Linked DNA regions of Tamandua tetradactyla. The protein of the gene in region 1 interacts with the protein of each later gene in a pairwise test. Links are inferred from orthologs where the notes say so. Each region holds a gene or a part of one and is shown in the gene's direction. Other genes may lie near its edges.

Region 1 (7,091 bases):
AGCCCTGACCTCACCTTATCAAAGGCTGTATGCCTGACAATAAATATTATTTTTATTCTTATTGTCTTTCTCCTAAACCTGTCCTCTCCCCAACCTCACCTTTCACAAATAAAGACACACAAGCCAGAGGAAACTCTTCAATTTATTTCCCACAGCATCAGCCCCTGCCCTCCCTCCCCTAGATGTAGGTCCCACCTCCTCCCAGCACCTTCACAAAACACTGATTTCTTCCCAGAGCTAAAATGAACACCCCAGTCACCATCTATGGCCACCCTCCACCCTGCTCCTTCCTCCCCATTTGCCTGTATATCCACCTGCTCTGTCAACTTGGCCACCTTTTTCCACCCACCCCACCACCACCATGTGACTCCCCAAGGCCGCGCGGCTTGCATTTTTGCTCACATCAAATGGGTCCCACTCTTAAAAGTCCTCATAGTAACTCTGCAGTGCTGCCTGGGCCTGCCCCTGTCCTGTTCCAACACCCTATCACCCTCGCCAAGAACCACGTGCAATTAATCCCAGCTCTGCAATTCAAGAGACCAGCTTTCTAAGCTCAGCTCTGCTGCTCGGTTCCCTGTGGGCCTAGGTTTCTCGGTTCTTACTCAAGGAGTGAAGATAATTAAGGCCAAACAGTGCAGGATTCTGAGACAAGGCTCCCAGCAGAGAGGTGGTAGGGGCAGGGAAGGCAGGCGGAAGGCGGAGGGAGGCCCCCCTACCCTGAGGCCCCCCTGGCACCCCCCAGGCCCCCCCCCCCAGCTCTAGCTGCGGCGGGCCCTCTGGCTCCGAGCCTTGTATACCTCGATGAGCAGATCTTTCACATACTGGATCTCCCGCTCCACCGACTCCGCCCTCTCCCTCAGCTCCCGGTTCCGGGCCTCCAGCCCCTGGCACTCGCCCTCTAGGGCCTCGCCCTCTGCCCGCTTCCGCTGGCGGTACCTCAGAGCTGCTGACTTGTTCTGGTCTCTCTTCTTTTGCTTGCGGTCCCCTCGGGCGGTGGCAGGGTTGGGGTAGGGAGCAGGGCGAGAGGGCGGAGGGGGTGGGGGCTGCTGGGGTGGGGGCAGGGATGTCAAGCCCACCTCACCCTGCCCGGCCTCACTGCGGCAGTAGATGGCCAGCAAGTCGAGGGTATCCAGGGCAGGGGGCTGGGGAAGGTCAAAGGGGGGGAGGGGGAGAGGGAGGGAAGGGGCTGGTGGCAGCGGGGGTGGGGGTGGGGGTGGGGGTGGGGATGGGGGAGGGAGGAGTGGGGCATCAAGGAAGAAGTCCTCCATCTGTTCTAGCTCCTTCTTGAGGAGAGTGGCCATGGCTTCCAGGTCAGGTGGGGGCGGGGAAGGTGGGGCAAGGGTGCCTGGGGGGAGGGGGGGCTCCAGAGGGAGGAGGGCTGTAAAGTCAACCCGTTCAGTCATCCAGTCTGAGAAGCCGTCACCTAGGGGATTAGAGGGGGGACATAAAAATTCGCTGAGTTCCTGGGCCTCCATTCAATTGGTGCTCACTCATCTCTGCCTCATTCAGGCCCCATTCATCAGTAAAACGGCTAACCACTCAACAAACCAATCAATGAATCCTCAAACCAGTCAGTAAACCAACAAACCTGCCAAGGAACCAATGAACCAAGCAACCAACTAATCAACCAAGCAGTGAACCAGTCACCCCTTCCAACCAACCAAGCAACCAACTAATCAACCAAGCAGTGAACCAGTCAACCCTTCCAACCAACCAAGCAACCAACTAATCAACCAAGCAGTGAACCAGTCAACCCTTCCAACCAACCAAGCAACCAACTAATCAACCAAGCAGTGAACCAGTCAACCCTTCCAACCAACCAACCAACCAACCAGTCAACCAACCAACCAAGGAACAAGTCAGCCAATTCATCAACCACCTAAGGAAACAATCAACTTATCCATCAAAGAGCCATTCAGCCATCCACCCAACTACCCAACCAGTCAACCATCCAACCAACTAGTGGACCAAGCATTTCTTCAACCATTCCAACATCTTCTTTATTGATTACATCTGTGGTTTTTCTGATTCACTCTCTCTCTAGCTTGTTCTTCAAATACAAAGTGAAATGCATCACACACGCACCTTATTTCATCTTTAGTTCATTAATTATTGAAAACCCACTATGTGCCAAGTGTTTGGGATACAGTAATGCATAAAATAACTGCTGCCTCAAGGACTCTGCATACTCTCTTTCTTCCACCTGAAATGCTCTTCCCTTGGGCTTTTCATGGTTCATTCCTTCCCATCCTTTAGGCCTCAGCCTAAATATTATCTACTTGGAGAAGCCTTCCTGGCTAAACTAGGTCCCCTTTGTCATGTTCTAGCTTAGCTGCTAAGGGCCCACTTAGCCGTCTCACCATGGGTGCCCCAAACCCCACCCCATTTAACTTGTCTCTTGTCTGTCTCCACTAGAATGTGAGCTCCAGAAAGGCAGGGATCACGCCAGTCTTTCTTCCCAGCTGTATACTCAGCACCTAAAACAGTGCCTGGCACATTGTAGGTACTCAATAAATATTTACTGAATGAATGAGTGAATGAATGAATGAGTTCTTCCTTCCCCTTTGTCCCCCACCTCCCCATCTCACCCTACCTCCACTCTTCATCTATCCTTACCTGTCAGGGGCTCTCCCCCCCCTGGAATCCCGCCCTCCAGGGCTCCCCCAAGGACCTCATAGGGGCCCAGGGGGGCAGGGGCCAGGGGGAGTTTCCCATAGTCTACGAGCCAGCCCAGCCCGCTAGCTGGGAGCAGGGCCCTGTCCAGCTCCAGACCCAGGGTCGCCAGGAGTGACATGGCTGCAGCACAGGCGCCGGGCACCAATGGCAAGGGAGGTTGCAGCACCAACTGCTGGGAGGAGGCTCAAGAGGATGCTCGGATGGGCGGAGACAGGCAGCAAGGCCAAAGTAGAGGATCTGCAGGTGGGAAGCAAAAGGGGTGGGGTCAGAGGCCAGCTCCACCCACTGGGCAAAGGCACAGGACCGCCCCTAAGCTACACCCCCATTGCCACGGAGACCCTCCTCTCAGAATTCCAAACCTGCTCTTTTTTCCCAACAATCTTAGAGCCCCACCTACTCCCAAGGGAATTGTCCTTGGGCCCAGCCTACTTTTCTCCCAAGCTCCACCCCTTCTTCTAATAGAGAATGTAGTGTCCTCCCAGCGGAATTTCCTTACACCTTTCCCATTCACCCCATGATACTCCTCTTTAATAAAAAAAAAAAAAAATCCAATCCCAGGGGAATTTCCTTCCAGCCACACCCTGTCCCTAAATTATTTCCTTTAGATCCCACCCCCTCTCGAAATCCATTCCTTCTAAAATCAGTTCCCAGGGGAATTCTCCCATGCTTTGCCTCTTCATCAGTGTTCTCCACTGAATTATCACCGTCATTACTTTAAACTGTGCGGTGACTCCCACGATGCCCCCAAAGTCCTGCTCCTCTCCATCTACTTTAGTTCCACCCCTCCCTGACAATTCTCTGTGGATCCCGCCTCATCTCACAATAGGCTTCACAAGCCCCGCCCCTCGCTACTGCTGTGGCCCTAGCCCCACCCCCTCTCCTAGAGGGTGGCCTCTAAACCCCGCCCCCACACCGTCAATCTATGCCAGGCCCAGCAGGTGCTTGGAGAGGGAAGCTGGGCAGTGCGCCCGCGCAAGGTGGAAGGGACACGTTGAAGGAGGGAGCAGAGAACGGCTCCCTACCCCATACCCCTCCGCACGCGCCTGCCTCCTCGAGAGCTAAAGCGCGTGATCGCTCCCTCAAGCCTCCGCCCTACGCGAATACTGGCTCTGGTGGGCATGAGCGGCCGCGCACGGACAGGATCGTTTCCGAAAAAAATAAAACCCACCCTTTCTGAGGGCTAGTGCGCAGGCGCCTCGGCCCACGGGCCAGACTCAGGCACAAACACCCTCGCGGGAAGGGCCCTTCCCCACCCCGGACCGAGTGCGCATGCTCGGCCGCGCGCCGCCGACCGCGGCCTCTCCCTCCTGCGCCTGCGCGACCTAGAGTCCACGCTCCCGGCTCCCCACCCCCCGGCCCCGGTGAGAAGGCCGCGCGCTGTGAAAGGGCGGGAAGGGCGGTTGGAGAGGGAGGGGCGAGCGGTTACTCACTCCATGGCGGCGGCAAGGAGAGGCGGCGGTAGCCTCGGCTGAAGAAAGAAGCGGGAGCGGAAGGCGCAGGCGCGGTGAGCGCGGAGATGACCGGGGGGCAGGGAGGATTCGCGGCTACAGGGCCATGGCCGGGACTGCGCGGGTGGTGGCGTCGCGCTGGCGTGAAGGGAGACCGTGATCCGAGGATAGGGAATGAGGCGGCCCCGGGGACCCGGGACAGATATAGCGGGGGTGGCGCAGCACGGCTCTGCCGGATCCTTCCGCGCTCCGCCCCTGCGGGCCCCGACGGGCCCTGGCAGGGAGGCGGGCCCGGCCCCCTCGTCTCTGTGACCCGGAGTTTGGGCCCTTTTCTCCTCTCACTCTGGGGCCCAGTCTTCTCCCTGACTCGGGTGCCTGGCGCCCTCCTCTCACTAACCCTGCGGTGCTGTGGTCCTCTCTTCCGTCTGACCCGGGATTCCGACCCCTTCCCTCCTCTGACTCTAGGGATTCTGACCCGGGAGCACAGACCCCTTTCTCCTCCTTCCTTTGACCCCAGGGTCTGGGGCCCGACCCCATCCCCCTCAGCTTCCCTCAGGCCTTCACGTGTCTCTCGCCTTCCCCTGCTTCACGAAAGAACTTCCGGCCAGCCGCACCGGAGTCTCTGCCCGTGCCTCCGTGAGGATCCTTGTGGGTTACTTCTGCGGGACCCCGGGGTCAGACGGTGCTCTTTTCGAATCACCTGCCTGGTGATCTTGAGCAAATAAGGTCTGTGGACCTCTTGTCGCTATCTATAAAATGAGAATTATACCCTCTATTTGGTGGGGTTGTTTGAGAATTAAAATGACAGTGTCCATGAAGCACAGCCCAGCTTGTACTCATCTGGTAACCCTGTCTTCTTATTAATAGGAACGTTGGGACTCAGTATCACGTTGTCTTCCCCTCCTGGCAGAGCCCCAGATACTTGACCAAGATTTGCTGGTAGGTTCCTCTTATGTAATTTCCAGCTATCACCACCCTCCCCCATTCCAAAGGGTGGGTGTTCAGCCCACCCCCGTGCAGGGATTTTGGCATTGTTACCCCCACTTCATCCTTTTTCCACCCTCTGTTCACCTCTGCCCACCTGCCAACATCCACAGTCCCTCAGTCCTTGTCCTCTATACTCTGACTCCACCGCGTGTGTTATTCTCTGCTTCTGCCTCTCACCCAAACTTTGTTTCAAATTGTCCTTTGCCTAAGCTGCCACTCACTGTGTGAGGAACTCAACCCTGCCAAAAAATGGGGAGATTTATGATTCCATTTAGTGAAAGAAAGCAGCCTCCTAACTATTCTTCCCCCACCCCCATACATTGGACCCTCCACCAGCCCTGGTTGGATGTAGATCTTTCCTCTGCTGCAGAAACCCTCTTTCCCACCTTGCATCCATCCACATCAGAATGTTTCACTTGGAGTTCAGCCCTCATCCCTTCTATTTGTGGGTACATGGGTTAGGAATCGAACCAGGTCTTCTGCATGGCAGGCAAACAGACATTCTACCACTGAACCACACCTGCACCCCCAACCCTCATCCCACCTGGGACAGTGAAGACACTGAATCGAGGCCCAAAAAATGTGTGGGAACTTTGATTTTGAGAGTGTCTGGGAGTTAAGAAATCCCCTCTCTTCCTTCATTGTTACATGTGGGAAGTCCTTCTTGGATCTGACCCCTTACCCTCTTGGTGTCCATCCACTGGGCCAGTACTGAGCACTTGCCCCATAGCTGGGCCCTTTGGAGCTACATTATGACCTAGACAGGGTACGGTAGTGGTTATCAGCACAGGCTCTGACACCAGGTGATCTGGGTGCACAGCTGGCTGTGCTCCACTCACTAGCTGTGTGACCTGGGCAGTTACACTTATTTCCCTGTGCCTCTGTTTACTCTGTGCCCAGTAATAGTACCCATCTCTTAGGGCTGTCATGAGGATTAAGTAAGTTAGTCCATGTCAAACATTTGGACTTGTGCCTGGCTGCTGGTTGGCACTGTTAGGGGTGGTGGTTAGGATTGTTGAAGCTCCAGTTGCAGGAGTTAAAGTTTCAAAACTAGCCCTTCACCAGTTTCTGGAGGCTTAAGGACAAACTTCCACTTCTCACTATAACTCAGTGACAGCAGGTGGTAGGGGTTAATGCTAGACAGTTGGACTCACTGCGGTCAGTGAGGAGGTGCCGCCCAGACCACCAGATTGATGAGGCTGCCACCCTTACTGGGAAACCTGCTGCTGCTGGCAGGATCTGGCTCCTAGACACTAGTTTCACTCTTCTCCTGCCATCTGGCCCCTTCCCTAGCAGAATCTGTTTCCTCCCTCTGTCCCTTTCCTACAGTAACCTCCCAGAATTGTCTTCTGAGTAGGGTCATAGATTATTTTTTAGATAAACTTTTTACTTTAGAATAATTTTAAGATTTACAGAAAAATTGCAAAGATAGAAAATGTTCTCATGTACTCTTGAACAGTCCTGGCCTTTGGGTATTTTAGGGAATGTCCCTCAGTATGAGTTTGTCTCATGGTTAAACTGACATTGTGGGGTTTTGAGCAGGTGGCCAGGGAGGGTATCTTTACTAACTGAAAAGAAACTAGCTCGGTTTGGGAATCATATTGCTGATTGTATGTGATGTACTGTCTGAAAAGTCATCTTCTTGGTCCTAGCCCCCATGCCCTTTTCACTCTGGCTGTTGGAGCCTACCTAATTCAGCCCTGGCACAGACTGGCCCACCTAGGCAGCATCACTGGGTTTTGCCAAGTGGGTGCTGGGTGCTCTGGGCTGCCCAGGCCTGCCAATAGATTCTAGTTCACAGGCAGTCATCTGCAGCTGGCACCCTGTGCCTTGTCCCATATCCATGCCTGACCCAGGTTCTGGCCTCTCCAGGACTCAAATGCCTCAGCCTCCCCCAGTCTCCCACAGCCTTTCAGGGTGCAGGTGCCCCAGCTCCTTCAACTCCTGAGATTGGAGTTGGAAGCATGGGTGGGGCTGCTG
Region 2 (7,091 bases), on another chromosome or scaffold:
AATGGAACCAACCTTTGTATAGCAGCTACTATGCATAGCAGAGCCAAACTGGGCAATTTTACATGCATTGTGTCACTTAACCCCCATTAAAGCCCTGTGAGAGGCATTACTACAATCTCCTTTTTACCAACTGGGATAAAATAGGCTCAGAGACTTGAAATAACTTGTCCAAGGTCTTCTGACTAGTAAGTGGATCACCTGATTTGAGTATAGTTTGCAAAGCTATACTCTTTGTGCTGCACCATGGTACACTGACAAATGTGCTTAAGGCACGAGGAGGTGCTACTTTTAGTTTCAGCCCAAAAACACAACTAATATAAAGTCTTTGTTTTTGTTACATGAACAGATATCACAGCAAATCACAAGCCTGCATAAAATAAACTCAAGAACGAAAACTGGAATACGCAGATGTGGCAAGGCCAAGATCTGCACCGCCCTATTTGGAAGTTACTTGTCATTATGCTCTACTATAAGGGCAGTTACAGGAGGAACTAGAGGCTGTGGGATTACAATGATGTGGGAAGGAGGTATGCAAATATTGGAAAAATAAATTTTTAAAGCCCAAGATAAAGAGGATAAGGCCAAAGACCCTTAGCTCACTATCACTTACAAGGTCGCATACTGTGTGGACACTTTCTAAGCTCCATACCAACCTAGGTGAACTAAAGATATAAGTCAGGCAGGCAACTGCACAGCATCCACTGCCAGCATACCTTCACTCTGACCCCTCCTCCCCATTAGTAAAACTGTGCACGATCAAGGGCTTCATATCCATTCCAAGCCTTCCCTTCCTACTAAAACAGGTGATCCTCATGTAACAGTAAGGTCAAAGTGAGCTGGCTCATCAAAAGGCCCAGAACTAGAAGTTTGAAGAAATTATTTCAATGTAGGCAGGGAAACAGTCAGCCTAGCACCCAGAATCACACTGTATTTGCTGAATGAATAAAAGACTGAATAAACTGCAGCATATTTATTTATAAAAAGGAAAATTGTTAACTGCCTTCTAACCTCTGGTTGGTTCCTTTGACAATGAGATGCAATGATAAGTGGAAGAAGATAACCAAAGAATATCACTGTTTCATAACATAAAAATATCAATGCCAGAGGGAAAATTATCATTAACCTTACACTCCATAAGATTAAATGAGTAATCTAGGTTAATAATCTTCATATCACAGAGAGATTTCACATCTAGTGTTGCATTTGATCCAGAGGCTACTTTGAAAGCTTCTGAATAGTAACTCACTTTATCATTTGTTCTGAGCCTCTGTTTCCTCATCAGTAAAATGAAATGTGCTCTATCTCTTCTGTTTCTTCCTCCAAATTCATCCACCCTCTCCTCTGCCCTGCCCTGTGCTGACCACATTAACAGATTCCCTAGCCCTCTAATAATCAGGTGAGTTTGCCCAGCAGGAAGCACCCAGCAGACTTTCACAGGGAGGAGAGAGAGAGACAAGGGAGAAGGAGGCCAGGGTATTTCTTCCCCTACCCCAACTCCTGCCGGGAAACTGAGGCTGCATCTCTTGACCAAAGGTCTCAAATCCTCTCAGGTTCCCTCTCTACCCATCTCTTCTACATGTCACTCCCCTTGCCCCTTCAAGTCTAAAGGTGGAAACAAAGTCCTCCTATTATTAAATGGTACTAAACTTTGCTCCTGATTTCCCGGTCCACACTTTTATAAATGCAACCGTCCCTTTATCAACCTTTCCTCAAATTATCCTAACTTGAGTGTACCATCTATTTCCTGCTGAGACTTGATTTATACAGGAGATAATACCACCTACACCTCCCAAGACTCTTCAGAAATTAGCAATCTGGTTGACATTGGCTGCCAGGCACTCGGCTATCATAACTGTCATGGCAATGCTAAGATACAGAAATTGCCACTCCCTATTTACAATTCAGGAAGCAAAGACTCAGAGAATTTAAGAAAATCGCCCAAATGATAGCCGGAACTGGCGCCTTTAGCCTTGAGAGCCAAAACTTCTACCTTCCCATTTCTGTTGTCATGATTACCGTGAATATTTTTCCTACTACATCATATTTCATTAATGCTGTCCTTCCTACAGGAAAATTATTCTCTCTTACAAATGAGATTTATTGTTGCTGTTGAACGCAATTTAACTGTGTGGTTAAGAATGAGAGTTCTGGTGTTGGTTCAGCGTTCAAAGCCTGACTGGCCACCTGTAGGACATGAAATCTTGAGCAAGAGACTTCCCTCCACAAGCCTCAGTTTCCTCCAGTTAAAACGAGAATACACTATTTCCTTCACTGGGTCGTTGTTAGGATTTAATGGAATACGCTTAGAAAGCGCCCCACACGCAGGTAATGCTCAAACGATGGCGCTACGGTGACTGAAAAAGAGTTACTGCGGCCTTGGGGGCATTACTGCTGCGGACGGGAGAGGTACCCGAGCAAGCGCAGTCGGACGAGGGGCGAGCCCGGACCCGGGTACCTGAGGGAAAGAGCCCGCTGCCCACCCCCGAGCACACCTGCTCCTCCAGCCGCTCGATTTCCAGCTGGTTCTTCTCCTCCTCTTCGTCGTACTCCCACTCGTACTCCCCGGGGGAGCTCTCGGCTGAGGAAGCCATGGCGTATTCCTCGTCTCCATCGCTCTCACTCACGCCTTCCTCCTGCTGATCCCACTCTGGCCCCATGGTCTTGTATGTCGCAGCGGCCACAGCCCGAGATAACACCTTCCTCCTCGTCCTCGTCGCCTTAGCCTCATCCTCCTCTCCCTCAGCCTCGGGCCCAGCCTTGAGCTCAGCCTCCGATTCTGAAGCCGAGGTTGCAGCCGCCGTCGCCATTTTGTGCCTCGGATAATTCTCGGGTCTTCGCTCCGCCGCCGAAGACCGACGGAAGTAGAAGCTGCCCGCGGCGTGCGCCTGACCAAAACCCTGCTCTCTCGCGATCGAAAGGAAAGCTGTGAGCCTCGAGTGACAGAAAAATCTCGAGATACGCTCAATTAATACTATTTTTATGTACTTATAAAAGCTCCCATCACAGAAAAGTCTCATTAATATAACATGACTTTCGTTACAACTTCGGACAGAAGTTGGATGTTTGGACAGGAAGTGGGGGGGGAGCAATGAGGTTGTGGCGCCATCTTGAGAAGGTCAAAGTAATTCTTGGAACGGAGACCTTACTAAAAGTAAGGTCTGATATGGCTCGTTGTTTAGTCTCCCCAGCAACCGAGCCCCAAACGCGGAGAAAACTCCACGTCCTCCGGGAAGGATAGACTGCGCTACTCGTGAGAAAAATGCATTGCCCGAAACGATTCTTCCCCTTTACGTAATGCGAATACTCCTGAGTCTAGTTTTAAAAAATCATATTCTGCACATCTAAAATATTAATTAAAATAAAAGTTAATACCAAGCATTAATTGAGAAACTCAGTTGCCTGGGATTACCATATACATTTTGTTGTTTGCGGTTATTTTCTATATGGAGACTATATATTATATATATGTATACATGCTTTTTTTTAATCAGGGCATGGTGTTCGTTTCTCTAATTAAACTTCCCATTTTTGAGGTAGTAAAGTATTGACGTGTTTCCTTGTTTATTGTCTTGAGCAAACATGTTTTGCTTTTCGTTGCATTCCCAAAGCCTGGTATGGAGACTTAACGTACGTAGTCAACACGTATGTGCTGAGTGGATGAAAAAATTCCCCTTAAATCAGAACAGATGACCAAATCATAAAGACCTGATATCATTCGCTTAGAGTCACAGAGACAGGAAGACGCAGAACCAGAATTCTAACCCAGGACTGTCTTTGCTGGAATCCCAACTGTATACCTAACTCTTTGAGCGAGTTACTAAACCTCTCTGAACCTCAACTTGTTTGGCTGCAAAATAGGTTAGGAAAAGTGGATCGGGTGATCTGTGCATTCCAGCGGTGAGCTTAGCCAGCTCAAGCTTGGGCACAGCGTTCAAACCTTAAACCCGTTCCTGCATCCAGAACCCAACACGAAAAACAAGATCTTATAGTAACTTCAGACCTTCCCGCGCCCCGCCCCGCCCCTTGGGGGGGCGTGGCCAAGGTAGAGCCAAAGAACAGACTGGGCGGATTGGAAGTGCGCAAGCGCGAAGATGCCGGGACGTAAAGCGACGCGTCCTTGGATCCGAAGTCCCGAGTCAAGTAGGCGGCGCGCTTCGCAGCTTCAGACTCGGTGTGGGCTTGCGTTAGGGGCGTCCCCGCAACATGGCGGCGGCCGGAGCTGGCCGTCTACGACGGGCTACGTCGGCCTTGCTACTGCAGAGCAAGCGCCTGCCCGCCCGGGAGCTGTCCGCCCCGGCCCGGCTTTATCACAAGAAGGTAGGAACGAGTAAAGGGGTGCACAGGGCCCGCACCGGCCGGGGAGTGTAAGTGTGAGGAACGGAGAGGGGACGGTGGGGGGGTCGTCCCCTCTCCCGTCTTCTGTCTCGACTAACTTTTCCTCGCTGCGCAGTAACACTAACCGCAATACAAACCAAAATAATAACGCTTACAATAGCGGCTACTTCCTGTGGGCCTCGCAGCTGACTGCTGTTTAGTGCGCCTTTAAACTTCCCAGCAGCCCGGGTGGGCTACACCCCACCGCTAGGGATCCACTTTAGCCAGACCACTGCCCTAGCTAAGTGACCTTGGGCGAGTCACTGCCCCTCGCTGAACCTCAGTTTCCACACTCATAAGATAGAGGTCTTAGCAGTCCCCTCTTACAAGAGATGATGCTTGTGACGTGCTCGGTGTGGTGTCTGGCTCTTAGGCTCAACATATAAAAACTATTAATGCTGCTGTTGTAGTAAAATTATCTCAGGTAGGCCTTATGGAAGTACTGGTTTCTGCCTTTTTGGAGCACACAGCCTCCTGTTGGAGTCAGACGTGTCACCAATAATCATGTTTTTGTTTTTGTTACGTTTTGGGTTTGGGGCCGGGGGCTGCGAAGTTTGCAGCCCTGCCTTCTGGGAGTTTAAGGTATCTTAGAGATGAGACTTTCACTTGGGATTGGGATAAAAAAGCAAAGATTGCTGGCATTCAACATATGGCAATATCCAAATTAGATATTATTTTGTGGGTCCTTGGGCTTAATGTTAAAATCCGTGGAAGGATAGAAGAGGGAAGAAAACAAGAAGATCAAGACACTTAACCGTTATTTAAGCCTTCTGTTTGCCAGTTTGAATGGACATTTAGTCTGGTTTCTGCATATTTGCCCACAGCTCAGGATTATCACACCGCACACACACCAGTGTTTTTTGACAGTACACTCAGTGAATTTAAAGCTAAAAGCTTTTCAGCCACCAGGGTGCACTGTTTAACCAGCCTGATTTCAGAGTGTCTACAAGTCACGTGGAAACTTCTGGAAAGGACTTCAATTTCTGAAACATAGTTACTTTAGAATTTTCTAATTGTAATCATTATCCTTTAAGAGTGGATTTTATTTTGAAATAACAAAAATGCTGCTTGAACCTAAATTGATGACTTGGATGGGTACAAGTTGAAGTAATCATTTGTGATTAAAAACCTTAATGGAGAGTGGGTTACCGTGGCTCAACAGGCAGAGTTCTCACCTGCCATGCTGGAGACCTGGGTTTGATTCCCAGTGCCTACCCATGCCAAAACAAACAAAATCTTAATGAAACCAAGACATGATTTAGGTGATTTTTCTCCAGTATCTCAAACAGAATCTGAAGATAGGAGTGGAAATACGAAAAGACTTTGGGTCATGAATAAAGCCTTGTTGACATGAGTGTAGACTGGTATTTTTACAGGTTGACTGCCAGGTTGCAGGCCTTGTGCCAGTCTTTGAGGGAACACGGATTAGTAAGATTCAATTCCCTACCTCCTGGAACTTAAATTCATGTCGAGGAGACCAGTATCAAGAGTGATCCCCAGGGATGAGCCTGGCCCTAGCACCATGGGATCAACAGTGCCATCCTGACCAAAAGGGGGGAAAGAATTGTAACAAATAAGGTATCAGTGGCTCAGAGAGTTCAAATAGAGTCAAGAGACTACTCTGGAGTCTACTCTTACCCAAGCCACAGCTAGATATTGCTATTTATTATAGTTTGCCAATCCCCAACCAAACCATTCCTGCCCACCCTAAAGAACACCTAAAGCATTATATAAGATTCTACAAAGGTACCATGTACTATGATTACTTTCCAGAAACCTACAACCTCCAGATGGGTTCCTAGGCCAGATGATCCTGAAAGCAGAGGGGCCAGCCTCTCCAGATCATCAACTAATTCCATCCCCCAACCCACATTATTTACAGCCCTTTCCAACATGAAAAAGTCAGAATATGCATAGCTCAAATACCCCTAAAGATTGGGAGAAAGATCAAAGGAGAATGTGGAATTATAACAGAGAAGATAGGACTTACTAAGTGAGCCAGACTGCTGAATCACTATACTGATATTTCTTTTAGTCTCCAATGCCTTAGAGCAGCTAAAAGGAAAAACTTAAAACTGTGGAACTTCAACCCATACCAAACTCTAAAATCTATTCTATAACTAATTGTTGCAGTGTGCTTTGAAATTTATTGCTTTTTTGTATATATGTTACTTTTCACAATTAAAAGAAAGAACAAGGGATTAGTTACATAAAGTATGTCATAATCAAAAAGAAAAAGAGTGATAATGATTCTCTTAACCCTCTCATTTCAGGTTGTTGATCATTATGAAAATCCTAGAAATGTGGGGTCCCTTGACAAGACATCTAAAAATGTTGGTACTGGCTTAGTGGGGGCTCCAGCTTGCGGTGATGTAATGAAATTACAGGTATGGCTGGTTTTCATCCTTAAAGGTAATAACGTAATCCCTTTGTTTTTACAGTGCTTTGCAGTTTAAAAATCATCTGCACACACAGCGTTTCATTTGGTCTCCATTTTTATTCCTGCGAGATGGCACAAGTTGATGTTATAAATGATTAGAGCAGAGACTGAATCTTAGTTCCTCTGTTTGTATGTCTGACCTTTTCTGAAATAGTAAACCAAACTCACCTTTGTACTCTTAATTTCAGCTGCAGCTATGTAAAAAGTTTTTTGAATTTTACTCATCAAAGGAAAACCACAACTATTTGGTTAGCAAGCCCCAATCCAATAGGGCAAG
Region 3 (7,990 bases), on another chromosome or scaffold:
ACATACATATCCTTTATTACAAAAACAATTAACCTTTTTTTTTTTTTAAACTGGGAGCTGAACCCAGGTCTCTGGCATGGCAGGAGAGAACTCTGCCACTGCACCACCATCGCCCGTCCTAACCATATTTCTTTTTTAAAAAGCAAACATTAAGTTAATTATGGGTAATAAGAATAAATATTTTCTATTTTGACCATTTTTAAATTGATAACAGGAAATTTAACTCTACATTTTATAGCATCTTGGTGATTTTTTTGCCCACATTTTTTGACTCTTAATTGATTAATCTGAGTCTTAACCCTTCAGAGTTTGATGGCTTCCCAAAATCCTCCAAAAAGCTTAGGAACATATTGAATAGAGTAGTCAATAATCATTAAACTGAAACCACTCACTTAGACAAGTTCTGGGCCTTCTCGATAAATTTCATCACCTAAAAGAAAAAGACGTAATAACAGGATCAGATTTCAAGATGCAGGGTGCCACACCTCACAGGATACCATGAGCTACTTGAATCTCACTTCTCAGTAAAAGTTGCTCTGAAGAAACACATCCCCATCAGCAGCACTGAAACAACACCCTGGGACATGGTGCAAGGACTTGAAAAGCTCAAGACTTCATCTGTCACTGTCAAGTGATAGTCTTTGGCATTTTGGTACATGTCATCATGGAGTAATATAAGGGTAACAATTTAATAATTAGAAAATATTCCTGGGCAGAGCACCAGTGGCACAGTGGCAGAATTCTCGCCTGCTGTGCCAGAGACCGGGGTTCAATTCCTGGAGCCTGACCATGCCAAAAAAGAAAAAATTCCTATGGAAGTAGGTGACAGAGTAACTCTAAAGGATGAAAAATACTTGATGCTAGTGAAAAGCCCCATTATTCTTCCATTCTGTGCCTGTTAAGCCATCCCACTCCCCTCTTCCTCCATCCACAATTAGGATAATACAACAAATGAGGAACAGATTAAAAAGTGAACCCAGATTTTTTGTTATTTTTGTTCTACTGGCTGTCACATAATACTGACGAAAACACATAATACTCCCATAAACTTATTTGCCTAATAAAATGCCCACATATTATCTACAGTTATACTCAGGTTTATGTTTCTTCTTTCCCACTATGCTCAAATGAAGTCATTTAAGAGTCACAAGTTTTTGCAAAGCCATGTCCATATGAACAGACACATACCTGATCAAACCTGGTAGCAAAGAGATTGAGTGAGGTCACAATGCCACCATTGGGCCCAAGTCCATACCTACACACTAGGTTAAGGATTCAAATTGTTTACATATCAATTTAGATTATAAAGTCCATACTCAAGTTATCAGTCACAAAAACAATATTATGGCATTAGTGTGCCATTAATGGATATTCGCAATACAATCCAATAACTAGTTATGTACCATACAATCTTAACCTCACAGGGAATCATTCACTATCATGGTCCTTTGTTCATTTATCACCTTTAGTGTTGGCCAAGCAAAATGAAAATACCAAAGTGACAAAAATGCAATGGACAGAAGCACCAGGCAGTGACAGCCTGTTAGCATTAGCCACTACGGTGGCAGTTTGGAGCTGTCATGTATTTCAGAAAAGGCCATGTTCTGTTCATCCATTCCTGTAGGTGCAGTCCTACTGTGGGCAGGACTTTTTGATTAGATTATTCCAGATGAGGTCTGCCCTAGGGTGGGTCTTAATCCTTTTACTGGAGTTCTTTTTTGAGAGAATAAAAGAGGGAAAAGTCAGGAAAGCTAATAGAAGGAATTCAGAGAAGCACACAGAAAAAGACACAGAAGCTGAGGAAGGAAACCAAAAGTTGAAGGCAACAAAACTCTACATCGAAGGACCTGGGCACCATGTGCCTTCTTATGTGACAGAGGTGTACTGGATACTGGCAGCTGGCCTTCCGTGTCCCGGTGTTATCCTGTTGATGTCTTGAGCTGGACATTTTCACAGCCTAAGAATTGTAAATTGTAAGTTAATAAATCCCAAGTGTAAAGGCCAACCTATTTCTGGTATATTACATTCCAACAGCTTTAGCAAACCAAAACAATCATCTTTATAACATTTCTTACTCTGATTCTGACTAATCAAGCAACTTGCTGGTTACAATTAGTCTTCTTACCTAGAATAACCCACAGGGAGAGAGAACATTTCATACAGCAATGTACTAAGAGTGAATCCTACCAAGCCTACTGATTTCTGAATTTCCCAGTCAGGAGAAGTGGTGATCAAATGGGGTGTACCTTCTAGTGCAATGCTACCTGGTAGGATCCAGGGCAGGCAGTCAGCTAGTCTCTCATTTTCACTGCTCTCTCATTACAATGGCGAGCAATCTGGGAAGATGGTAAGAAAACTGAAATCACAAGCTAAAATTATTATCTTGATCATCTATAATACTTCTCCCACACCCATCTACTATCTCCTCCTAATAAAATCACTTTAAAACAATCTAATGATTTTGCGCCTGTGTTTCAGAAGGAAAGGTAAAAATATTCTTTACAAAGTCATAAAATATACAGAAAATAATGGATCTGGGACAAGTCAACATCAAAGCAGACATAGAAAAGGATACTGTTTCATGACTTCTTTATACTTCACAGTGTCACGAATATCTGGAGGGAAAATTAACTGAAATTTAACACGTAAGAAAAATATAGTTTGAGACCCTCCTATAATATCCTAAACTGACAGTCAGAAAAAGTCATCTCTGCTTCCTCTGAGGAAAAATTAAGTATCTGAGTTACTTTTCATATCATTTATGTAAACTGTTAAATAAGAACACTGAATTGAGATAAGAAAAGAAGCAGGACCATGAGGAAAAAGAACAGAAGCGCAAAAGGTACCCTGGCAGCAACTTTCGTACCAGTAAGAAACTGAAACTAGATTTCTAGGCTTTTTTTGTTGGCTTTCTCCAATTTCTTCACCCTCACATTGGTTTCCTTCCATACAAAGGATAACTGCCACGTAATCTATAAATAATGTTAGTAAAGGAGCTCTCAAACTGCATGGTAGAGATGAGACAAGGTAAAAAATTTTGTATGACTTAAATATCATATTAGTGGCCATAGGCACAGAAAAAGAGTGCTAGATCAAGGGGAAAAAAAACAGATGATTTCCTTCTAATTATCTACTAGTGACAAAGACAACGAAGACATGATTTTTTAATAAGATTTAATATGTCCAGTAATATCTAATTAAACCCATCCAGCAGTCTATAGACTTCCCCTATCAACTATTAGAACTTCATCCTTAAAATGAGATGGGCAGTTTTTTTCACTCTTCCCAGAATTATCTTGCTTCTTAATCCAGTATTCCTTTCATTAATATGTGTGGAGTACACAAAGCTTACTCAGGATTAAGAAGAGATAAGGAGGAATAGGATTTGCACACAGCAATGGCCTAGAAATCAAAGTCTAGATCCTATCAAGAATCAGGACACAGGACTAAATTCATTCTTAACCTTTTTTGGAATCACAGACTCTTCTTAGAATCACAGGAAAATTAAGAAACTCTTCCCAGAGCTTTATACATATATATATATACACATACACACACACACACACATTTAGGGGAGTGGGAGCAAGATTCCTATAGATCAGCAAGTGAACTGAAGCATAAGAACACTTACGTTCTAACTAAACTTTGAGACACTAAATAGAAAATATTTATGCATCAGAATCTGCTGAAAGGTTTATAGTCTAGAAGTGAAAAGACTGACTTTACATCACTTCATTTTCCCAAATTAAAATAGCCTGGCACACTAGAGTCAGAAAGAGAAGTGATAAAGGTGAGTGGGAAGGAGGTAAAGAAATGCAGGAAAGGCAAAAAATAAACAACAACAAAAAAACATGAATAAAGAAGAAGCCTGGACAGGAACTCCAGTGACTCCAAGGGAAATGAAAGTAGATAGTTAAGAGAAGATAAAAAATGAAGGCACTGAAGAAAGCAAGGCTCAGGCTTTCCAGTCCCTTTAAGGCATTTCACACAAGTTCTTCCATGGTTCACTCACCAATATTGGCAGGAAAAGGGACTTCATGCACCGCTGGGTCCAGGTTGATCACATAAGGTGGAGAGCCTTGGCTATGCAGATGTCCTGTGAGCCTCTGCAGACATGGGGAGGGGAGGTGGAAGAAGATATAAGGGGATGAGAAAAATTCCAGTCATTTATCGACCATGCCTAAAGGCATTTTTGCACTTTCATTTCCGTCTACATGAAACATCCGCCCAGATGCTCACCTCCAACATTCAGCTCGCAGTCCAAATGCTGTCTTTTTCTATCCATACAAGAGCCTCCCGTGCTCTCTAGCACTTGTTCTCTGTGTACGGGAGTGGGTTTTTCTGACTCCCCCACCAAAATATAAAAACATTAGTTCCATGAAAGCAGGAACTTCGTCAACCTCATTTTCACCGTATCCCCAGTTCCTGGAACAAGGTAGTGGGCAATAAATAATTCCTGAACAAATCTCCGAGAACCTGTTAATCGCTAGAGCTGCCAGTAAAATCCCTACCTACGAGAACTTCACAATTTTATCGGGAATAACTTGGTAAGTTGTACCAAGTATGTATTGAGCATTGAGGGTATACAAAAGAGAGCCTTAACTGACCGAGGCTAAATTCCGATAAGACTTCGTGGAGCAAGTCACTTAGGCTGAGAAGTCCCCCAAAGCCACGCGTCGCTACCTCCAACTCCCCAGAAAACTCCCTTTCTCCCTGAGACTTTGGCCCGCCACGGACAACCTCTCGCATACATGTTACTACACCCGCGCCGTATACTTACCTGTACAAAGGTGGTTTTCCCAGATCCTGCCATTCCCAACACTAACAGACAGACTGGAGGATGCGGGCCACCTGACGCCTGAGCCTCAGCTGCAGCTGCGGGGGCCGCCATTTTCCTACTAGCTCCGCCTGCCCGACGATAGAGACGATGAGAGGCTAGAGAGACTTGCGCGACGCTCTGGGCTGCGAATGGACGTAAAGCCGACTGGGCCCGGAAGAGAAGGGCATGCAGGGGCGGGACCGGCTGGGGCGCCAACTGGTGACAGTGGGGAAGTGGGGCCGCTAGGAGACCAAAAGGCGTGCCGCAGGGGCCAGGAAAAGGTGGAAAGCCTGGTTCCCAGGAGGGCGAGAGGAGACGGGAGCCCGAGGGCAGGGCTCCCGCAGTAGGAAAATGAGGAGAGTGGGTTTCACTTTCGGCCCCCAAGAAGCCGAGAGCAGAGCTGCGAGAGGACTGGCTGCCAGGGCTTCTTCGGTAACCGCAGAGGTTAAACAACTCACGGTGGCACGGAGCCAGATTGGGGCGGGAAGCGACTATAGGAGTTGCTGGGCATCGCCGAGACACACCGAGCACAAAACAGAGAAACTGCGAAAACTTTCTGCATTTGGATGCCGTCCCGGCTTGTCGCAGGCCCCTGACACTAGCGCCCGCCTCTCGGCTATCGCCTTCAGTAAACTACACAATTACCATCACCCTGGGGATGAACGCGTGTATTCCTGGCACGAGTGAGTTCAGAGGGGGCTCGGGAAAGGTGACGCAAGAGCCGAGAAAAATTATTCCTACTCAGACCTTACCCAAGCCAGTTTCGGTGGCTCTCAAAGTGTTCAGTGAGTTCCGGGTTCCACACCCAGGCTTTGCCACTTGCTGGGCAAATAATCTGAACCTGTTTTCTCATCTTTAAAATTAATAACCTCCCAGGGTTGTAATGATCCAGTATTGTAAACCGAAAAATACTGTACCTCATCTTTACACGTAGTCGTATTCCCCTTGCTTTCCAGTGTCCAGAACACAAAGCGGTGCTCAAAATTACTTTCTTGTATGAATTAAAGTACAAATGTGCGTTTAAAAAAAATTATTTCCTAAATGTCCATTAAGAATTGATGGGGGATTGTCTCACTTGTTCCTCCTTCAGGTTTGCTGAAAGTCCCAGAAGGCCTTCTTCAAGACCTTATCTTGGTTTAAAAAATGGTTTTTCCAAAGAAGAGAATCTAATAAAGGCTGAGATGATACTTAAAGAGAAGACAGTGGTGGAAGTAAAGGAGTTGAAGGAGCAAATAAAACAAGCTCAAATCCAGCAGGAACAGCTCCTGGCAGACAACAGGCATCTATACACTGAAAAGACACTTGTCCAGGCTGAAAACAAATTCTTTCTGGAATACCTGACCAACAAAACTGAGGAATATAAAAGGCAACCTAAGAAGCTGTGGAACAACTTTTTACAAAAAAGTGGGGAGATTGAAAGACATAGGCAAGAATCAGCCTCCAAATACGCAAAACAGATTTCAGTACTTAAAGCAGAGCTCTTGCAGAAAGAAAAGATCCAATTCAATTTGAAGCAGCAGTTGGAAGCAATGAGGGGCATTTCTATAACAAAGGAAAAACAGGAGGCAGAAGTGCAGACATTACAGAATGCAAAAAAGAAAGCCGAAACCAAGGCAACTGCAAAGATAGAGGAAACAAAGACCCAGTTGCTCCAAGAAAAAGCATTACTGGAGAAACAATTGAGCGAGCCAGACGTAAGGCAGTTGGGAAAGAAAAATAAAAGGGAGGTTAAGAGGAAAAACCAGGCCTTGGAGTGGACCACAAAGCAGTATACTCTTGAATTTTACCGTGGCATTAACAGAGAGAGCCAACAGTTACAGAAGAAAATACTGCAGCTCCTTCAGCAATGCCAGGAGTTGGAGGCTTCTCAAAGCCAGTTAAAATACAGGAAGCAGCAGCTGCAGCAAGAACAGTGGTATCTGGAATGTTTAATTCGGGGGCGACAACGAATGCAAAGAAGGCATAATTGGTGCCTACAAGGACAGGATGCTCCAAAGATTAACCAAAATATTTCCTAAACTAACACTGCTTAAGTAAGCGCTAAAGCAAGTTCTCTCAGGTGTTAAACTAACCAGGTTGGGAAGGTTTGGGAATCCATTGCTATGGTTAAATACCTTTCATGGTGTGCTGGGATGAAAAGATAGGGTGCTTATTTTCAGCGGTCCTCCATGATGTTTGTGTGACCAGCATCCCTTAACTCCCTCTTCATTTAATTAACTCTTGCTAGTAAACAGGGTGTTCCACAAACCTCCACGTTAACTAAAATACCTGACCCTAACTTAACACTAACCACTTACCAAACACCCATACTTCAAACTAACTCAAGAAAGCCAACTTGAAGAGGTTAGACGAAAACAGATGTGTGATTCATTTCATTTTGCTAACTTAAGAGTTCTTTCTAGAACTAGCACCTTTAAGGCCAGAGCAAGCACCTTTAAGGATAGCTTTCTGCTTTGTAAATAATTTATATCGATGTATCCTCATTCCTTTTGGCATTCTCAGCAACGTCAAAAGTGCATTATCAATTCTTATTAAAATTTTTGCCAGTGACGAGGTAGATCTTCTATAGTTTTCTCATTAAGTGCAAAGTATTCTGACAACAGCAAGTCCAATAAGTGCTTGGCAGAATAACCTTTGGTTTGATGCTAAGCCCTTACAATTTTAGCTTTGAATAAACTGAGAAGTTGAAGGGGCCATAAAATAGGTTAGTTACTCTTTTAAAAATGTTTTCTGCGAAGAAACACTTGGAGCATCAGAAACACTTGGAGCATCAGAAACACTTGGAGCATCAGTGGGGTTAATGAATGCCTCTGCTTGTTTCAGGAAAACATATCAAAAGTTTAAAAATATTTGGACAATTTTTTAAGGAGGCTTGTGTCATCCGTTGTCATCCTATTTCCCTAGCAGCATTCTAAATTCCAAGATGACAGGTAGAAGTACTTAAGGATAATAAATATTTTAGTTTTAAGTCATTTATTCTATTTTTGTACTACACATCACTTTATAATCAATGTATGCCATATATTTATGTCCTATGTTTAGAATTGGTGATACTACTTTTAGGTTTTTAGAGTGGTTGTATTTTTTTTTTGCATCTATGACACTAATGGTTAGACCAGTGATTTATTTCAATGTTGAGTCCTAGTTCAGTAATAAAATCCCATATTTTAA
Region 4 (6,695 bases), on another chromosome or scaffold:
CTCTGTAAACATTTTAAACTAACAATGCCAGGCACTAAGAACTGTATACATTTTATCTCATTTAGCAGTCCAGGAATTGCTATTACCAGGTTTTTATAGTGGTGAGTAAGCAGCTTTCCTGAGACAGGCTGAGAGCAGCGAGTGAAGCTGGGAGCTGATCCCAGGCAGTCTCTGTGCACCTGGAATTATAATGAAGCTATAATGCTTCTCATCACAGCCCATTTAGCACAGCCTGGAGCCGAGACCTTGTACATTTCCCCCAGCTGTGTTTTTCTCACTGCGTTTTTCCCTGTGAATATGCCATATGTTGGCTGCTTTTTCAGCTAAATAGACTATGGTGACTCTCCTTGGGGCCTAACTTGCCTTCAGGATATTCTTTGTAGGGCAAATAAGCTTTAGATTCCGTGGTGGACTTGAACATCCCATGTGCGACTTCCCCACTCATGTCTGAAGAAGAGTCTCCTCCTGAAGGCAGTGATGCACAGGGGGTCTTCCCAGGTGGACGCGCCCTCCTTGGGGATGGCCGGAACGGATGCCTCACTTCTGGCAACTTCCAGGTGAGCCTGGTTCCTCTGCTCCTCCCTCGATGTCCATCCCGTTCCCACACCTCACCCTGGACCACGGGCGTCTCCTCTGGGGCCACAGGTGGGGAGAGAAGACATGACAAGGTTTCTCCTGTCCTCCCAGAGGGCCTGTCAGTGTAGGGTCAGTTCTGCTGGTGAGTTCTCCCGCTGGGTCCGGCTGAGGTTAAGGAGAGACACCCAACTGCCCACACCCCCTGCGTCAGACCTACTTAAACACATTGCTGAGATATCAAGCATTCTCGGTCCAGGTTATGACACCATCTAAGAATGAAAAGTCAAATTAGATGGTTGGCTTGGGCCTCGGTTTTTTTTTTTTTTTTTTTTTTTTTTTATCTCTATCCTTATTCTAAAAAGGACCATCTAATTTCCATGTTGGGATTCCTTCTCATCGTTCACCCTCATTTCCTATGCCAAAGACAGAAGAGACCTTCTCTCCATGTGAGGGGTGTAGAACCTCCTGGCCTAGCTCAGGGAAACAGGGAGCACAGCAGAGCTGCCTGTGAAATTGATAGCTGCTGGGTGCAATCCACAAAGCTCCCTCACTGCCTAGAGCCTGCAATGCTCAGGACATCTTCCTGAGGATTAATCCGTGAGATGCTTTCTGAGGGAGGAATTGGATCCCTGCAATGTGAGGGAAAAGTAGTCACCCAAGTCCCTTGTGAAAGATGATGTTTGCTGCTCGCACGTGATTTGGGCCTCCTGATGCCAGCTCAGGGCTCACTCTGTATAAAAGGCTGAGACGACCAGCAGCACCTCAGTCCACTTGCCTCCCGCGACACCTGCTCCAGCACCTGAGCAGGTAAAGCACATTTCAGGCACCACGACGGACTCCCGGTGATGGTGTCTGGCTCAGGGAGAAGCCCTGGGTGGAGAATGAGGCTAGCCTTGAAGAAAGGCAAAGAACAAAAGGGATGACAGAAGCTAGGTGAAGGGGAAAATGGTTGGTGTCTTTTTGAAGTTGCAGGGAATTCATTTAAAAAATATGGAGTTCCTCGGTTGAAGCCATTTGTAAAGAAAATTCTTGTAACTGATTTGGGGACATTTCAGTTTTGAGGTTGAAATCATATTTCAATTTTGCATATGGAAGTAAGTCACCTTTAGCTAGTTGAACTTTAAAACTTCTGATTTGTCTTTCAGTTTTGTTCAACTTCCACTGAGATGTCCTGCCAGCAGAGTCAGCAGCAGTGCCAGCCCCCTCCCAAGTGCCAAACTCCTAAATGCCCCCCAAAATGCCCTCCTAAGTGCCCCCCCAAAGCTCCAGTCTCCTCCTGCTGCAGTGTCAGCTCTGGGGGCTGCTGTGGTCCCAGCTCGGGGGGCTGCTGTGGCCCCAGCTCGGGGGGCTGCTGTGGCTCCAGCTCTGGCGGTGGGGGCTGCTGTGCCTCCAGCTCTGGCGGTGGGGGCTGCTGTGCCTCCAGCTCTGGCGGTGGGGGCTGCTGCCTGAGCCACCACCGGCCCCGCCGATCTCTTCGACGCCGGCACCAGAGCTCCAGCTGCTGTGGCAGTGGTCAGCAGTCAGGGGGCTCTGGCTGCTGCCCCGGGTCTGGGGGCTGCTGCTGACCTGGACCGTGAGAACATAATGGACCAGACTCGGACGAACCGAAGTGCCAAGGGTCTGCCCCAGCCTGAGGCGTCTCTTCTCCCCTTTCCCCACAGAAGGACTTCTGAAAGGCCTTGAGTTTCCCTCTTCCTCCTGCATGTGTTCATTCCGCTATTATGTCCAGAGGTTTAACCCCTGATATTCACTGGCCCGATATCCCCTCTCAGACACAGTTCTGTTGAGCAGTTGGTGTTGGAGTTGAGTTATGAAGCTATTTTCTCTGTAACAATAAAGCTTTTATTCCTGATGCCACTGCCTCTTGATTATATTTTGTTTGCCTCTCCCACTCCCCATTCCTTGCCTCAGGCCATCTTTCTTCTACTCTAAAGGGCAAGTGAACACTTAAATAATGTGCTTGGGAAGCAGAGCAGGGCATTTAAATACTTAGCCTCCTGGGAAATGATATTTCCTTTGTGCTCTGAATGTGGAGCTTTAAGCTTGAAGGAAGAAGCACATCTGAGACCACTAGGCTTGGCACAGGCAGCCCACGAAGAGACTCGGGGAGGATGGCGGTACCAGAAAGGTCACAGGCTGAGAAGAAATCATCAGCAACAGTGTCCTTCAGGCCATGGGCCATCGCTTAAAAGAACTCTTTATCTCTAATCGCAGGGAATAAGATAATCTGAAGTGCTCCAGCTGGGCTGCAGTGAATGGGCACCATTTACTTTTCTGATTAGTATCATCTCAGGGGCTGCCTTCAGCTGGCCGAAGAGGAGACTCGGGGAGGTTCTGGGGAGTGAGTTTCGGAGGCAAGTATGAAATGCCTCTACGCATTTTCGCTGCATCTGGAGATCCTGGGTTTGGATTTGAGTAGAGAGCCAAGAAGGCAACCCCTCTGCCGAGACAAAGGCTGCCTCCTTCTAGTTGGCACGTGTGTGAGTGTGTGGGTGTGGGTGTGTTTGTGTGTGAGTGTGGTGTGTTTGTGTGTGAGTGTGTGGCTGTGTGTGTGTGAGTGTGGTGTGTTTGTGTGTGAGTGTATGTGTGTGGCTGTGCGTTTGTGTGTGGGTGTGGGTGGTGTGTGAGTGTGTGTGTGTGTGTGAGTAGAGGGTGAATGTGGAAGTGGGGGGCTTTGGTTATTGTGTTGGGTTTTACAGGTTAACATTTCTTTAGCAATGGGCTGATTCCTTCAGGAGATACTCAGAACGTTTTTGAGAAGAAAGAGAGCTCCAAACCAGTCTTCTAAATACAAGGTGAACACTTAGTCCCTTCTTTGATAAGAGTCCACACTGATAAGTAAAGTGAGTTACTATATGAGGCCATAATAAATCCAAATAATGGACATGTAATTGCCCAAGTATCTCCTCATATCAATGTTTATCAAACCTTCATATTTCACTCCTTTTTTCTCTAACCTTGCATAGTTCCATAGAGGTGATCCTGCCTCCATTTTTGTTACTTCATTACTTCCTCTTCTTTTTTAATATTGACTGCACCTATTGCAATATCTCACCTCTACTCACCAATAACTGTCCCTAGGTAAACATAACCTACTCATAAAGCTCTAAAGCCATGTTAAATGAAATTGTTATCTTTTGTGATTTAGCTTTTCTTGTCCTTTCACCCAAAATCTCTCTCAGACTATTGAATCTTGAATTCTTCATCCTGAACTTCTCTCATATCTCACATTCATGGTTGAGTCTCTTTTAAAAAGATAATTACTAAAAGCACCACTTGTCATGGATGCTGGGCCTTTGAAAATGACTTCTTTTTCTTTACTTTTCTCCTCCTACTCCCTCTTCTTCCTTCTTTTTCTCCTCTTCCTTCTCCTGTCCCTGTCTCTTTCCCTCTCTTTTTTCTTATAGGGAAGTGGCCCCAGGGAGACCTTATCTCCAAAGGGAGATAAGGAGAGGGATGGATGGTGACCAGCCGAGTTCCATGGGCTAGCTTGGGCCTCTGCAATTGGGCCAACATCAGCACACAGTTTTATCCCAGGGATATGGCAAACTACGTTCACAACCTTTTTTTTTTTTGCTAGGATTTTTCTTCCTCCCGTCTCCAGGGGCAGGAAGAAATCCCCACTGGGGTTTCCATAGCACATCACCTCCACCATCTTTCTCAACTCTGTCTGCAAGCATCCCAGCCGGTGGCCTACCCTGAGGAGCCCAGGACTCAGAACCAGAGAGATGGGAACCAAAGGTGGCAAGCCAGTCAACTGCCAACAACCAAGTAGATGCTTGCACACAGGGATGGGTGGGCAGTCAAGGGCACTGTGTGTTTGTGCTAGCATGCGGGCTTGCCGGTAACCTGGAAAGGGGCAGGGAGAATGGGCCTGCAGACCTCTCCTGGTCCCCATGCCTTCGCGTAGTAGGCACACAGCCCTTCAGCCACCAGTGGTGCCCTGTTTGGAAAGCAAACATACCACAAGCAATCCTGGCACCTCTGTGCTCTGACTTGGAGGCTCACGTGTACAACTTAAGGGAGCTACCTGCGTGATGAATCTCTGACCTGTGTCAGCTGAGCGTGTCTATTGAGAAATAGGTCCCTCCCAAATTGCCTCATGATGATGTATAAAAGGTACCCCGGCTGGACACTGCTCAGTCCACTGCCTAGGAGGCGACCTTTTCCAGCTGAGGAGCTGAGTGAGCCTTCCCACTGTGCCAGGGTCTGGTGAGTTTCCAGGTCGGGTTTGGGAGAGGAGTTGGGAAGGGTCGAAAGCGGAGGGGAGGAGAAGGCAGCAGGGTACAGATGTGGACAGAGAGTCCTGGGAGGTGCCTTCAGCCTCAAGCAAGCCAACCTCTCAGGGAACCCCGGCGGACAGGGGCCCCGGACTGGGCTGGGCGTGTGTGTGACTTTGCAAGTCTGGAGTGGAGTGTAGCTAGGGGCCGGGTCTCGCTCTCAGCACAGGAATATTCCCTACTCGGCACCACTCTGCTTGTCCTTGTGGTTGTGGGGTGGCAGGGATGGGAGAGAAAGGATAACCACAACCGTTTCTGGTGTGTGTGAATCTTTAGGCCCCGGCTGCAGGGATGCACAGGTGATTCAGTGTTTTCTAACTGATGGCATTTATACTTTACTAATGATTGTGAGGATATAGCTTGACGGTCTGTGAAACGTGGCACAGGGAAAGGGCCAAAAGAAGATTCTGGAGTGGATCCTACAGATAAATTGCCACAATATCCTCTTTAATTTCCACTGTGGAGAAAGATGATCTCTGTTCAAGTTAGAGGAGACGGGAAGCCATTGATTCATTGCCTAGTTCCTCCTCTACCCAGATTTAAATCACTGGAAACATGTTTGGGATGCGTTTGCGTCCCTTTCTATCTTTCTCGGCTTCCCTCCCTGGGTCCTCTTTCTTTCTCAGGCCAGGCTTGCTTGCGCATTGAGCCGGACTCTGCAAAGGCCCGCGAGGTCTGCCCCTGTCTGAAACGCGGCCTTTCTTCCAGGTCGGCCGTCCGCGATGTCCTCCCAGCAGAGCGCAGCTGCCGCCAAAGGCTTCTCCAAGGGGGCTTCCCAGGGCCCCGCCGCGTGCCCCGCCCCGGTGCCCGCCGCCCCCTCCTCCAGCTGCTGCGGCTGCTGCCCGAGCTCCAGCTGCTGCGGGGACTCAGGCTGCTGCGGGGACGCCCCCACCGGCTGCTGCTGCTTCCCGCGGAGGCGCCGCCGGCAGCGCGGGCGCGGCTGCTGCTGCTGCGGGGGCAGCCAGCGGTCCCAGAGCTCCGGGTGCTGCGCCAGCGGCTGCTGACAGCCGGCCGGGCAGAGCTGGAGCCGCCCTGCACCTGCCGCTCCCACCAGCCGCTCCCACCTGCTGCTCCCACCTGCTGCTCCCACCAGTAACCACGGCCCCGCGGGGCCGAGCATCGGACTGTGCCCGCCAAGATTAACGGCACTTTGCGGCTCAAACACGCGCCTTGTTCTCAGCCTTGATGCCATGGAGACCTGACAGTGGTGGGTAGTTCACAGACCGCTACTACCTTTCCGGGTTTGCACACAGCAGGTGCTCCATAAATGCTTACTGATTTCATTGTCCTTTGAAGACGTGTCATAATAAAGCTTCTACCTCCAAACAACACCTCCATTAGAATTTATTCCTTCGTGTGTGTCTCGATTTATCTTGCTCTGTTGTCCTATACAGTACCTCTCATTGGCTCTGATGGAAAGGCTTGGAATATCTGTGAAAGGCAGAAAACTGAAATTCGTGACTGAACAAGAACGTGGCTCTCTGGTAGTCAATTATGATAGCAGCCATCACGTATGGAACCAGCGTCCTACGGCTGTTACGTGACAGGCATTATCGCATTTAATTCCTATAATGACTCAGTGAGTGGGCGCTGCTCTTTCCATTTTATAGATGAGAAACTGAGGATAAAGAACTTGCTCAAAGCCACCCAGTTGATGCCTGATGGAGAGACTGGATGCCTGACTCCAGAGCTAATTATGCTCCCAACTGCACTGCTTGGTCCCCCCTAAAGTTTCCAGAGTCCCTGACGAAGGCATCCGTCCTCCTGCCCCCACTCCACACAGCTGCCTGGGAAAGGTCTGTGTTTCCTACTCTTGTGGACGTTGGAATCAGGAGAACT

The links.
Region 2: the proteins of NUP62 (region 1) and ISCU interact in binary tests that used the Homo sapiens proteins (3 or more experiments, as listed by UniProt). The two-hybrid records come from large-scale screens. The link is inferred for Tamandua tetradactyla from reciprocal best matches to the Homo sapiens genes NUP62 and ISCU.
Region 3: the proteins of NUP62 (region 1) and CCDC121 interact in binary tests that used the Homo sapiens proteins (3 or more experiments, as listed by UniProt). The two-hybrid records come from large-scale screens. The link is inferred for Tamandua tetradactyla from reciprocal best matches to the Homo sapiens genes NUP62 and CCDC121.
Region 4: the proteins of NUP62 (region 1) and CRCT1 interact in binary tests that used the Homo sapiens proteins (3 or more experiments, as listed by UniProt). The two-hybrid records come from large-scale screens. The link is inferred for Tamandua tetradactyla from reciprocal best matches to the Homo sapiens genes NUP62 and CRCT1.

Annotation. Positions count from the first base shown.
Region 1 is NC_135342.1:11,235,527-11,242,617, forward strand, and holds the start of NUP62 (nuclear pore glycoprotein p62), read left to right. Parts: upstream 1-4,078; 5' UTR 4,079-4,180; exon of another isoform or gene 4,181-4,367; intron 4,368-4,991; exon of another isoform or gene 4,992-5,063; intron 5,064-7,091. Other genes in the region: ATF5 (cyclic AMP-dependent transcription factor ATF-5), read right to left, coding at 759-1,423, 2,617-2,794. UniProt on the Homo sapiens protein: Essential component of the nuclear pore complex. The N-terminal is probably involved in nucleocytoplasmic transport.
Region 2 is NC_135331.1:22,830,541-22,837,631, reverse strand, and holds the start of ISCU (iron-sulfur cluster assembly enzyme ISCU), read left to right. Parts: upstream 1-4,080; 5' UTR 4,081-4,203; coding exon 4,204-4,317; intron 4,318-6,647; coding exon 6,648-6,761; intron 6,762-7,091. Other genes in the region: SART3 (spliceosome associated factor 3, U4/U6 recycling protein), read right to left, coding at 2,493-2,807.
Region 3 is NC_135329.1:11,550,344-11,558,333, reverse strand, and holds the start of CCDC121 (coiled-coil domain-containing protein 121), read left to right. Parts: upstream 1-4,985; 5' UTR 4,986-5,170; coding exon 5,171-5,502; exon of another isoform or gene 5,503-5,909; coding exon 5,910-6,837; 3' UTR 6,838-7,990. Other genes in the region: GPN1 (GPN-loop GTPase 1), read right to left, coding at 393-430, 1,189-1,255, 2,576-2,615, 4,013-4,106, 4,781-4,891.
Region 4 is NC_135330.1:2,671,520-2,678,214, reverse strand, and holds CRCT1 (cysteine-rich C-terminal protein 1), read left to right. Parts: upstream 1-4,725; 5' UTR 4,726-4,788; intron 4,789-5,564; 5' UTR 5,565-5,578; coding exon 5,579-5,860; 3' UTR 5,861-6,187; downstream 6,188-6,695. Other genes in the region: late cornified envelope protein 1E-like, read left to right, coding at 444-557, 1,722-2,141.